Linked DNA regions of Canis lupus familiaris. The protein of the gene in region 2 interacts with the protein of the main gene of each other region in a biochemical or structural test. Links are inferred from orthologs where the notes say so. Each region holds a gene or a part of one and is shown on either strand. Other genes may lie near its edges. The genes, in order: ITGB1, TLN1 and RET.

Region 1 (3,647 bases), on a different chromosome or scaffold from region 2:
TATAGTCTGGGAACAAATCTGCTTAGGAGCCATTACAGACTGGGCCAAAAAACAAAAACAAAAACAAAAACAAAAACAGAACAAAAAACAAAAACAAAACACAAACAAACCCAAAACCCTGAGTATGAATGACTCAAACCAGTGTGTTTTTTTAGAATTATCAGATCACTCAGGAAAAATGGAGAAGGGTCAGCAGCAAGCTGTCTCTTAGTCACATATCTACATGCGAGTTAGGAAAATATGCAATACTCTATTAAGATAGAGAACAACTATAGGGAAGACAGAGAACAACTGGAGTCTTAAAAATCTTTGTAATAAAAAACCTCTCGGAACGCCTGGGTTGCTCAGCGGTTGAGCGCCTGCCTTTGGCCCGGGCGTGATTCTGGAATCCCGGGATCGAGTCCCACATCGGGCTCCCTTCATGGAGCCTGCTTCTCTCTCTGCCTATGTCTCTGCCTCTCTCTGTGTGTGTCTCTCATGAATAAATAAATAAAATCTTTTAAAAAGAAAAAAAGAAAAAAAAAACAACCTCTCTGTCTCTGTGAGTAGGGTTTTTCCGAAACATTTTGGGAAACCCGGGCATGAGGTAAAAATTATCTAAAATTCAACCTGTCAAAAGGGTGAGGGGTAGACACACAATGGTTACCGATGTCTTCTGACTACTTAAAATGGTTATTCACCAATGCTTAACAAGCATCACTAAACATACTCAGAATTAGAGCTCTAGACAACTCAACTTCCTTCCATGTGTGGGGGAAAAAAATTTTACACATCTTTTTAAAACAGGTAAGTCAAATATATTTACATATGTACGTATTTTATGGCATGTGTATCTCTTGAGAATAGAAAACTATATCTCTGAATACATAACAAGAAAAGACTTGACAAAAAAGCTTTTCCAGAATAATTCAGCAAAAAAGATGAATCTATAAAAAATAATGCGGTGGGCAGATTGAGGTAATCTTATACATTTAAATATAAGTTATGTTTATAAGTTATTGTTTATATCCTTGTATATATCCAGTATATACCTTACATATTGTTATAAGTTATTGTTTATATCCTCAAACAAGTGAATTGTTTTCCAACAAGAAAACCTTTTTAATGACATCAAACAAGACATTTAGAAACCTTCCCCACCCCAATTATCGTATTTTTGCTCTGCTCAGATTATAAATAATTTGGTTTTTATAGAATATAAAATGTTTTCTTCCAGATACGTAAAATGTTCCTTTACTTTGTCCTCTGAGCTTACTAAATTGTAAATGAAAGGAGTTTTACTTTCTTTGGTAAATTATTCTCAAGAGGGTATTGTCTAAAAGAGATCTTATTTAGAATATACTTACGTTGTAGGCATCAATAATCAACTGAATTACGTTGCTAGAATTTGCAGATAATGTTCCTACTGCTGACTTAGGGATCAAATTTTTCAGTTCCTGAAATTAAAATATAAAACATGTAAGGTACAAATATTATTGATTCAACCAATTAGCATTTACTGAGCATGAAAAAAAAAAAAAAACACACAAACTTAAGTATGAGCATCCTAGCCATTTCCTAAATAACTTAAGGAGTCAAATATAATAAAACTAGTTTTATTTGTGATTAAAAATTAATATAAACCACTACTGTAAAATCCAGTCAGTCTGGTTACTAACACTTTCCTATATTTCAATTCAGACATATGATTTTGCCTAAAGACTAGACATGAAGGGTCTAGAAGCTGGTTTTATTTATTTATTTATTTATTTATTTATTTATTTATTTATTTATTTATTTATTTATTTATTTATTTTTAAAGATTTATTTACTTATTTATGATAGACCGAGAGAGAGAGAGAGAGAGAGAGAGAGAGGCAGAGATACAGGAGGAAGGAGAAGCAGGCTCCATGCCAGGAGCCCAACGTGGGACTCGATCCCGGGACTCCAGGATTGCACCCTGGGCCAAAGGCAGGCACCAAACCGCTGAGCCACCCAGGGATCCCTTAATTCATTTATTTATGAGAGAGACAGAGAAAGAGGCAGAGACATAGGCAAAGGGAGAAGCTTCCTCCTGGGAGCCAAATGCAGGACTCCATATCAGGACTCTGGGATCATACCCTGAGCCAAAGGCAGACACTCAACCACTGAGCCACCCAGATGCCCACTAGTTCCTCTTTTTATCCCATACATACATACTTACCTTGTAAACGGGCTGAAATTCTTCTGTAACTGCAAAAATTGTCTGAATGTTATTTTCACTTAGTTTCTGGACAAGGTGAGCAATAGAAGGATAATCCTAAGAAATTAAATAAAATTTAGTAAGTAATTACCTCCAATGTATTCCAGTTTTTCCATACTTTTTGAAAATAATAATTTGCATATATAACTGGATTACTTACACAAAACTGCCTGAAATAACACAAATAATTGCTGAGGTGGGAGGTGTGTACATGTGGGTGTGTAATCTTCTATCTTCCATATACATGTGGGTGTGTATCTTCTGTATGTATAGAAACTTCCACAATAAAAAGGTTTTAAAAAGCAAGATCTATGTATAGTAAGTGTTAGAAAAATGAAAGTAAAGAACTGCCAGTAACTACAGGTTGTATCATAAATCACCAAAATTCACTAAGGTTTAGATTTCTTGTAGAACTTGAATAATTTGCCAGTCTTTGTTTTCAATAAAAGGAGAGTACCTACTTTCAAAAATCTTATATAAATAAGATGAAGAGTATAGGCCTTTACAAATTATCTGTTTAGAAATGTCAAATTTGCTATCAAATGATGTGTGCAAAGACAAGAAACACAGCGATGTGCTGAGAAACAGAATAAGAGTGTTCAAGCAGCTCCTTTCACCGACTGAGGCCCTTGTCTATGCAGCAGAAAGCAAACACAAAACACATCTTCAGACATAGCAATACTAGCTTCCTTGCATGTTAGGTTAGGGGTTGTACTTACCAAAATAACAAACCCTCAAACCTTGTAAAACTTGTAAGCCAGTCACCCACAATACTTTTTTTTTTTTTTTAAGATTTTATTTATTTATTCATGATAGACATAGAGAGAGAGAGAGAGAGAGAGACAGAGACACAGGTAGAGGGAGAAGCAGGCTCCATGCAAGGAGCCTGATGCGGGACTCAATCCCAGGACCCCAGGATCGCGCCCTGGGCTAAAAGCAGGCGCTAAACCGCTGAGCCACCCGGAGATCCCTACCCACAATACTTTTAGTATTAAACACCAAAATTCCACAGGAATCCATTCAATATGTAAGGAATTCAACACTCACATAATAATGGCTCATTGTGTACACATCATTTTCCAGGTGACACTGTCCATCATTTGGTAAAACAATGCCACCAAGTTTGCCATCTCCAGCAAAGTGAAATCCAGCGTCTGTGGAAAACACCAGCAGCCGTGTGACATTCCTCCAGCCAATCAATGACTTGAAAAGAAAAAGATTTCAATTTATAAATGCTATCCACATCACTGTACATAAAGCTATAATCCTCACATAGGCTCCCATTGTACTTTTAACCTCATTCTATACTTTCTTCTTAGCTTCTCTTTTTACAGTGCTAATATTGCTGCTGATACAGAGCAGAGAGCATATGCAGAGCCCACTGCATGAGGCTCCTCCACCCCTGAGGAAAAAAACTGTCTTGCTT
Region 2 (3,647 bases):
CCTTTCATCTTTTCCTGTGAGGCAGAGGCTGTCTTTGGTATGGTGGCCAGAGATATCAGACAAGGAGTGAATGAGCAGATCCTATCTAGACCACCAGGGGGTGCTAAGGATTGTGGGAGAGCCAAACAGGGGTTGGGGGGGTGGGGGCGCTGAGGTGGGGGTGGTGTCTGCAGGGAGCCACAAACTCCTCTAGGGAGAAGCAAGGGCACAGGGGCAGCAGCCAAGTGAGCAGTAGAGAGGGCTGACAACCCCACACGTTTCCACGGAGAATGGGACTCATAGGGATGATGGAAAATGTGACCAAGGGCAGGGCCAGACTTTGAGGGGAAAGGGGAAGAATGGGAATAAGGCGGACAGACTGAGAAGGGTCTGTCACCCACCTTCACCAGAAAGAAGGAGACACCATAGGTCTTGAGGGAACGGGCTAGCTTCACGTAGCGAACCTTGGCCTCGATCTCACTCATCTGCCCACAGTTCTTGTGTGCCTGAGTGGGAAATGGGGAAAAACGTTTAGCAAAACATGGGGGGATGGTGTCACAGACAAGTTGCGACGTTAACCACAATGGGAACGTACTGTGGGAGACACAGGAAAGGTTAGAGGGTGCAGGGTATGAGAAATGAGAGGGTGACAGGATGGGGGTGGACAGAGGATACACAGAAGTGACACTTCAAGGAATATAGTTAAACAACTTGCAGATGTTCTGGAGACATGAACAGATAAGTAGAAGGTCAAATAGAAGGCTTTTTGGGCTGAGTACTCAAGAAGTGGGGATAACACTTTACATTTGTACAAAGATATACTTTTCACAGTAACTTCAGGCATACTGTCTCATTTGATTCTCCTATCAATCCCACCCAGGGCAGGCACTGTCATCCCGAGTTAGAGGCAAAGAAAAGAAAACAAGAACACTGAATTGAATTCCACAGCAAATGCAGTGATGGAGCTGAAACGAAAAGCCCAGGTCTTCTGCTTTCTTGGCACAGGAGAGGTGGGAGAAGAGTTTGATGGGTGGAAGCGGGGTGGAAGGAGATAAGGAAGGGGCAGGGGTCCATTCAGTCAGTAGGATTAAGTAGCAAAGCTCCCAAAGCATCCCAAACACTTTCCCCTACCCCCATTCACCTGGAAGATCTTACGCTCTCCCTTCTGCTTCACATACTCCTTGGGCAGGAAGTCCTTCAGGCTACACCAGAAAAGGGAGGGTCAGCACGGAGTGGACAGCATCAGGGATATGTAGGCCATGGACTGTGGGCCTGGGGGCATGAGGAAATGTCTAGGACAGTGTTATCTTTGGGGAGAAGGAAGGCTCGAGGGAACAGAGTCTGGATTATCCGTGAAATCAAGATGATCTAGCATTAGCTCTTGACTGCAGCCTGTGTCTCTCCCTACAGGGGAAGGGACTGAGGGAACCTGAGTTGTAGGCTGTCCCTGAGGGAAAGAGGGTCTAGAGCACTACCACAGGAAACCAGGAGGAGAAGGAGCTCAGTAGGAGAATGACCATGCACATAGAAAGCTAAGCAAGCCACGCTGAACTCTACACATTCTGAGGAGTATCAGTGGATGAGACTTGTGAAGCTTTCTAAGTCTGTGTTCCCTGGGAGGAGAAATGTACTGTTTTCCTGTGGCTACTGCAGTGAAATTCTTCAGAGAAGCTCAAAAAAGTTCCATGCTTGCTTGAGAGGTACGGGGTAGAGGCAGAGATTCTGGACTACATTCATACTCCACATGGGACCAGTGAGGAGGTATATAGCTGACGGCAGCAAAAACGGTACCCATGTGGGTCAAACCCTGGGTGCATCGGAAGAGGAAACAGAGAGAGAAGGCCTGGTGGGGGTGGGGGTGGGCAGGACTGTTGAGGTTGCAACGGCAGTAAGTCCTGGGCCCTAACAGGGTGTGGGATGCAGGTCACTCACTCAAGGAAGCCAGCCTTGTGCTTCTGCTCATTGTGGGGCCCAAACTGGATCTGGCATTGGAAGCCAGCAAACTCACAGGCCTTGTCGAAGGAGACAGGGTGGGAGCCATTGAGGATGTCATCTCGTGCCTGGAGGACACATGGCAGCAAGTGTTGTGTGTGGGTGTGGGATGCCCTCGCAGTGCCTCTGCCCCCCTCCCTACCTCCCTTAGCCCAGGCAAATCCTCTCCACACCTGCACATAAAGGAGGTTCAGCTGTACAGGGTCCCGGGAGTCCACATTCTGGTCTGAGTAGAAGAACTTCCTCCGCAGCAGAAGTGTCTCATGCTCCTCCACCCCCTGTTCCCTCAGCGTGCGGCCATGGTCCAGCCAGTTCACTGGGACACACAGAGTCCCCTCAGTGCCAAGCCCCTAGGGTGCCTGTGGTGTCTGGTCTCTGGCTTTTTGTTTGTTTGTTCTTTATCTCCTACCTTCTCTTACCAATAAGTTCTGAGTGTAGGACTTTATTACTGATGCATCCTGTGTCTAAAACAGTGTCTTGCAAAAGCAGGTATTCAATAACTAACCAATCAACAGTTGCCCCCACCCCCACCCCTTTCCCCCAACCATTTCCAGGGCCCTCTTTTTTCTCTTTCTGCTTACACTCATCATCTGTGTGCAACTTCTGCTTTAGTTTCTCCATCTTCTTTTCATCTCGCAGCAGTGTCTTATCTTTTCGTAAGGTTCCTGTTACCTCCTCCTTTTTCTCTTCCATCAGCTCTCGAACCAGGGAATATTCATCATGGTTGGTGATGCCTGGGGGAGGGCGAGGGATTGGTTGCATCCTGGGCATGGCATACTTGTTTTTTGGTAGAGCTGAAGCCTCCATTCCTGAGCCCTCTGCCCCACCGAGACCCCTTACCAATGCGGGCACAGATGGTCATGAGCATGTCGGTGACAGTCTTAGAGTCATCCACCATGATAGTCTTCACAGTTCCATCGAGCATACGGATTTTCAGGGGCCTCTGTTTCTTCCTGTACTCCATGGTGTCCTGTTGGGGCAGGAATAGGAGGAGGGGCCCACTTGAAGCTGGAGGTACTACTTCCTTTTTCCACAGCCAGACGGGGGGGGGGGGGGGGGGGGTGGGAAGGTAGGTGACTAAAAGCAAGACTGTGGTGGCTCACTCAAAAGCAGGGTAATTTGATTGCCTGTGATAAAAAGCCTGGAGAGGGTCAGAGACAACAGGTATAGGTACTGAAAACAGGAGGTGAAGTCAGGGATGCTGATGGAAGAGAATGTTGGCGGCCCTTGCTGAAGTGATACTCACCCCATTGCGGAGCATGTAGTAATCCAAAGCTTTCCCGGCCTCCAGCCATATACCTTTTTTGGGGTCATCATCTGACAGGAATAGCCCAAAGTCGCTGGCTGAAAGAGAGGTTGGATTCCCTCAGACTCACGAGGACCCCAGTGTGGCTGAACAGCTGCTCTGTTGCCCCTTACTATTTCCCCAGGGCCTGAGGGCCTAAAGGGGAGAGAGGGAACCATGGAGCACAGGCCTGAGGGATGTGTAGCCTTGAGGGACAACGGGGTCATCCCTTAAAGCCAAGAGCCTGGGAACAAGGGACTTTCCCCCACCTGCCACCGGGGTACTCAGACTTACGAGGGCCAGCCAGGGCCTCTGGGATGCGCTCACGAATGATGCGACAGGCATCATACACCATGGTGGATGGCTCAAACTGCATGGTCTTCACCACATT
Region 3 (4,237 bases), on a different chromosome or scaffold from region 2:
GAAAGATCTGTAAGACATCATGCCAAAGAGAAGAAGCCAGGCACAAAAGAATACACATGGCATGATTCTAACTAATTTTAGGTAACAGAAAGTAGACTGTCTACCTTTTAGGGGTGGGAGGAGGCAAAGGGCTGGAAAGGGCAGGAAGGAACATTCTGGGGAATGTAGGTCCCACGTCCTGATAGCAGTGTGGGTCTTAGCTGACAATGTACAGCTAAGAGTTGTGCATTTCAACTCAGGTACATTTTCCCTAAAAACCCGATCACCAAGGGACTGTGGGTAGAGAGAGCCATGGTTGCCTCAAGGGAGAGGATGTTGACCATGGCCTTGCTGGGTTAGCTCATGTAGGACCTCACTACTCTGCTGACTTTGTGTAAGTTCAACATTTCTCATATTAAAAGGTTTTTAAAAATAGAATTTCCAATTAGGATAAATAGACGAACAATGCTTGAAAACCACTAAAACCCTGCAAATACTCTATAATGCATAGAAAGTACCCAATACACAATGCAAACATTAGAACTACTTGTGGATTTGCTCTCGTGTAGCCAATTTATCTTTTCAATAAACTTGTTTCTACCTAGACCCCACTCTTCTCATAGCTGTTGGGGTTAGCAGCCAGGCCAGTTTGCACCAACAGAGGACACTCCCAGCACCGCTTGGGTCCCCAAGGACACATTTGGGTATGGGGAATCAAGTGCCAAGTGGAATCAGGTGAAGACACCAGGTAAGCCCTTTCCAGGTCCCCAGACATGATAAAACAATAAGCAAACAGGAAGGCTGCCTGCACTGTGGAATGTTTTCCAGGATGACTTCAAAAGGCAGCCAAGGCTGCGAGTACCAACTTGGGGGGAAGCGTGCATTTGGCCCCACCTGCTCCCTGCCAGACAGGCCTGGACTGGGAAGGAGCAAGAGGGAGAGGGAGAGAGGGAGAAGGAAGCGAGGAAAAGAAGGAGAGAGAGAAGAGAGGGAGAAAGGGAGAGAAGGGAGATAGATGCTCTGGCCAGAGCCAAAGGCACTAACCCCACACTAACCACAGAGATGGAGAGAAGTGGGGTGGAGGCACGACAACATTCATAGAGTGGCCTTTCAGACCTTTGGAAAGCCCTTCTCTAGGAGAGGTCTTCTTGGAGTGGGACCTAGAATTACTTGGTCCCTGTGGGTGCAGTTCAGAGAGGCCCTCCAAGGAGCCTGCCCTGTGCTCTGAGCTAAGGTTTCTTGGGGGGAGGATCTACTCCAAAGTGTCACATTGGCTGCCATTCAAGGGGGAGGCAACTTATGGAGCGCCATGAAGTCACACTGGGGAGGGAGTGCTGAGACCATGCTTCCCCCACCCTGGGGTCTCACCAGCAGACACTATGGGCAGGAGCTAGCTTGAATGCCACCTGAATCTCCCCACATCCTCCCCACTGGCCAAGAGGACACAGGTTCTCAGATGCACTCAGGGCTGACCTCCTTGGGATTCAGTGGCTGACAGATAACAGGGACAGGAGGGCAGCTCAGAGAGCTGTAATGGCTGCTGGCTTCTTGCTGCTCCTGCTGAAGGGCAGCTGAAGACACGAGCACAAGGCTGAGCTGAGTGATGGGCCATGGCTGATAGGTCCTTGGAGGGTCCCTGCACAGGTAGGATCCTTCCCAGAGGCTTGCATGTCCCATGAGAGGCATTCACACACCTCACAGAGTGGAGCCCTAAAGGGGACCCTACTGACTCATCAAGTCATGGCTCAGACAAAGACAGAAATGCTCCCTGTGTGTGAGGAGCCACCCACAGGGAGGGGACAGTGGTAGAGGAGTCCCAGATGGGGCTTGGCAGCCACTTCCCACCAGGAGTGTGCCAGAGCCTGCTCTGTGCTGCCTAGCAGGGTGACTCCTGGCTTGTGCTCCTCAGCGGGGCCATCCAGTCTCTCTGATATTATAGGGGCTCCCAACCCATGGCAGCATTCCAGCATGGCCAAGTCCTGGAAGGCAGGTTCAGAAGGGGAATCAGAGCCACGCACAGCACTGCTGCTCCACAACAGGGGACTGGATCATGAGCAGCAGCCAGCTAGGCTTCCTTGCCATCCAACATTCCATGAAGGTTCCACAAGTCAGAGCATCCAGCAGGAGCTCAAAGTGAGGGCTGGGGCAGGGGGTGTTAGGGAAGGTGATATTCACTGCCCCACGGACAGAAAGAATGACTCTCTTCCCCCCACAACCTTCTGAAGATGCTGGCCCCCTGCAGGCTGCTGCTGCCTCTCAAAGGTGGAGTGTAGGCTGAGCACAACCTGGTTGGATGGCTCTGGGAGGCAACACAGGACAAGGCTAATCCTCCATGCATACATGTTGACCTTCCATCTCTCCACAGCTCCAGACAGACAGTGTCAGGACCACTGCTTCGCAAACACAGACAATGAGGCAGAAAGAAAGTTTATTTGCTCAAGGGTATGCACATAAGACAGCAAGAGAACTGGAATTTGTAATGCAGTCTTTTCAAAGAGGCACATCCTTCACCAGCGCACTCAGCTCCCTGGGCCCCCACAGCGGCCATGCTCTTGATCCCCAGCTGACCATGCCTGGGCCCCCACTGAGGTAGCCCTGCCTGCTGGGACAGGCTTTACTCCCCTATAAAGCCTTGAGCGGTGATTAAGCCTTACTGCAAGTCAAGAATATCAACTCGAGGGGAAGACAGTCCTAATGACCCACCAACTCTCTGGGCAGCTTGGCATTTCTGGGCACAAAAAGGAGGAAAGACTGACTCCCAGTGGTCTTACGGGGTGGTGGCCAGGGGCAGCCTGGACTTGTGACACCAATACTAGGTCAATACCAGGTAAGGAGGGAGGTCAGCCCAGACAAATGCTGCCCCTACCCTGGCAGAAGGGCACGAACCAACCCTTAATGATCCGAGATGCTGCCATTGTGCCTCAATTCTCAGCGCTGCAAGGAGTGCTACCAGTCCATAAGACTGGACATAGACCAGGCAGCCTGTGTCTTCCAGAGCCTGTGTCTTAGTGTGCCTGACTGGTCCAGGGAGAGAGGTGAGGTCTGTGCTCTTGCCCCCAGAGGACCAGCGAGGGGACTCTGCATATCCACAGAGCTTACATCTTGAGGAGGCAACACAGTCTCTGCCAGCACCTTCTCTCAGGACACACATTCCTGGCCCTGGTCAGCAGAATAGAACTGAGTAAAACTTGGCTGTTCTTGGAGCCACTGTGGGGAGGGTTTCTCAGGTGGCTCTGGTGACACCTGGGGGCTGGAGGACAGCAGTCAGGTCTGGTCAGGGGGATACTCTACCCAGAGTGTCCTACCCTGCTGGGTAGATAGGAGCAGCCCCAGAACAGGGCTCCCTTCTGGGGGAGCCTCTTTGACTGTACAGTGGTACAGGGGCTAGGAGGCAGGAGATCCCAGCTCCCAGAGCTCCCCACCCCCGAGCTGGTACAGTTCCACCCATGCAGACCACATGTCCAGGAGAGAATGGGCCCTGCTTGCTCTCTCTCACAGAGCCCAGCCCTACAGGATCCATGTGGGGCCCAGGCGATTGCTGCCAAAAGGGGTTTGTGGGTCGGGCAATGATTGTGAGCAGAAACAGACTTACATGCACTTAAAATACCTCCCAGGTGGTCCCTGTAGCTGGGTATAGCTCCCTTAATGCTCCGGTATGTCACAGACACTTCTAGATGGAAAAACACATGGTCCAAGGCAGGAAACTGAGGAGGAGGGTGCAGGGCCGGCTTCAGGTGGGCACAGCCTGGGCAGGCCCAAAGGGATTAATGCCCTGATGTCACTGTTTTGAAATTCGTCACAATTCTAGAACAAAGGGTCTGGATCTTCATTCTACACTGGGCCCCATGAATGATGCAGCCACTCCTGGCAAGTGGATGAGGAGAGCCTGGGATGGGCCACTGGTGTTCATTTTCACAGTGTGCCAGCCTCCACTGTGTCTCAGTTTCTCCAGCTGCAAATCAGAGAAGGGCATGCTGGGAGAGGAGCAGACAGGGCAGGTACAAGCAGGCCTCACCTTTGCATAGGTATGTACTCCACAGAACTCATACTTCAGATTCACAGCTGCTGTGTGTAGATCCCTTTACTACCCCATTTCACAGTTTGGAACACTGTGGCTGGGAGGTAAGAATCTCGGGGTTTGGTACAATGGCTAACAAAGTGGCAGTGGGCATCAGACACTGGAGTCAGTCAGCCCACCAGGAGGCTTGCTGCTGGCCCTTTCTGCCAGGAAGGGCTGCCTGGCCTGTGGGCTCAGACC

Evidence for each region.
Region 1: the proteins of TLN1 (region 2) and ITGB1 form a complex in vitro, tested with the Homo sapiens proteins (3 studies listed by BioGRID and IntAct, with this or other methods). The link is inferred for Canis lupus familiaris from reciprocal best matches to the Homo sapiens genes TLN1 and ITGB1.
Region 3: the proteins of TLN1 (region 2) and RET interact in a surface display test, tested with the Homo sapiens proteins (2 studies listed by BioGRID and IntAct, with this or other methods). The link is inferred for Canis lupus familiaris from reciprocal best matches to the Homo sapiens genes TLN1 and RET.

Annotation. Positions count from the first base shown.
Region 1 is NC_049223.1:3,966,557-3,970,203, reverse strand, and holds part of ITGB1 (integrin beta-1), read right to left. Parts: intron 3,425-3,647; coding exon 3,269-3,424; intron 2,279-3,268; coding exon 2,183-2,278; intron 1,437-2,182; coding exon 1,347-1,436; intron 1-1,346.
Region 2 is NC_049232.1:52,545,348-52,548,994, forward strand, and holds part of TLN1 (talin-1), read right to left. Parts: coding exon 3,551-3,647; exon of another isoform or gene 3,316-3,550; coding exon 3,218-3,315; exon of another isoform or gene 3,075-3,217; intron 2,942-3,074; coding exon 2,812-2,941; intron 2,706-2,811; coding exon 2,553-2,705; intron 2,288-2,552; coding exon 2,145-2,287; intron 2,040-2,144; coding exon 1,912-2,039; intron 1,182-1,911; coding exon 1,121-1,181; intron 486-1,120; coding exon 381-485; intron 15-380; coding exon 1-14. UniProt on the Homo sapiens protein: High molecular weight cytoskeletal protein concentrated at regions of cell-matrix and cell-cell contacts. Involved in connections of major cytoskeletal structures to the plasma membrane.
Region 3 is NC_049249.1:4,128,507-4,132,743, forward strand, and holds the start of RET (proto-oncogene tyrosine-protein kinase receptor Ret), read right to left. Parts: upstream 2,895-4,237; coding exon 2,846-2,894; intron 1-2,845. UniProt on the Homo sapiens protein: Receptor tyrosine-protein kinase involved in numerous cellular mechanisms including cell proliferation, neuronal navigation, cell migration, and cell differentiation in response to glia cell line-derived growth family factors (GDNF, NRTN, ARTN, PSPN and GDF15).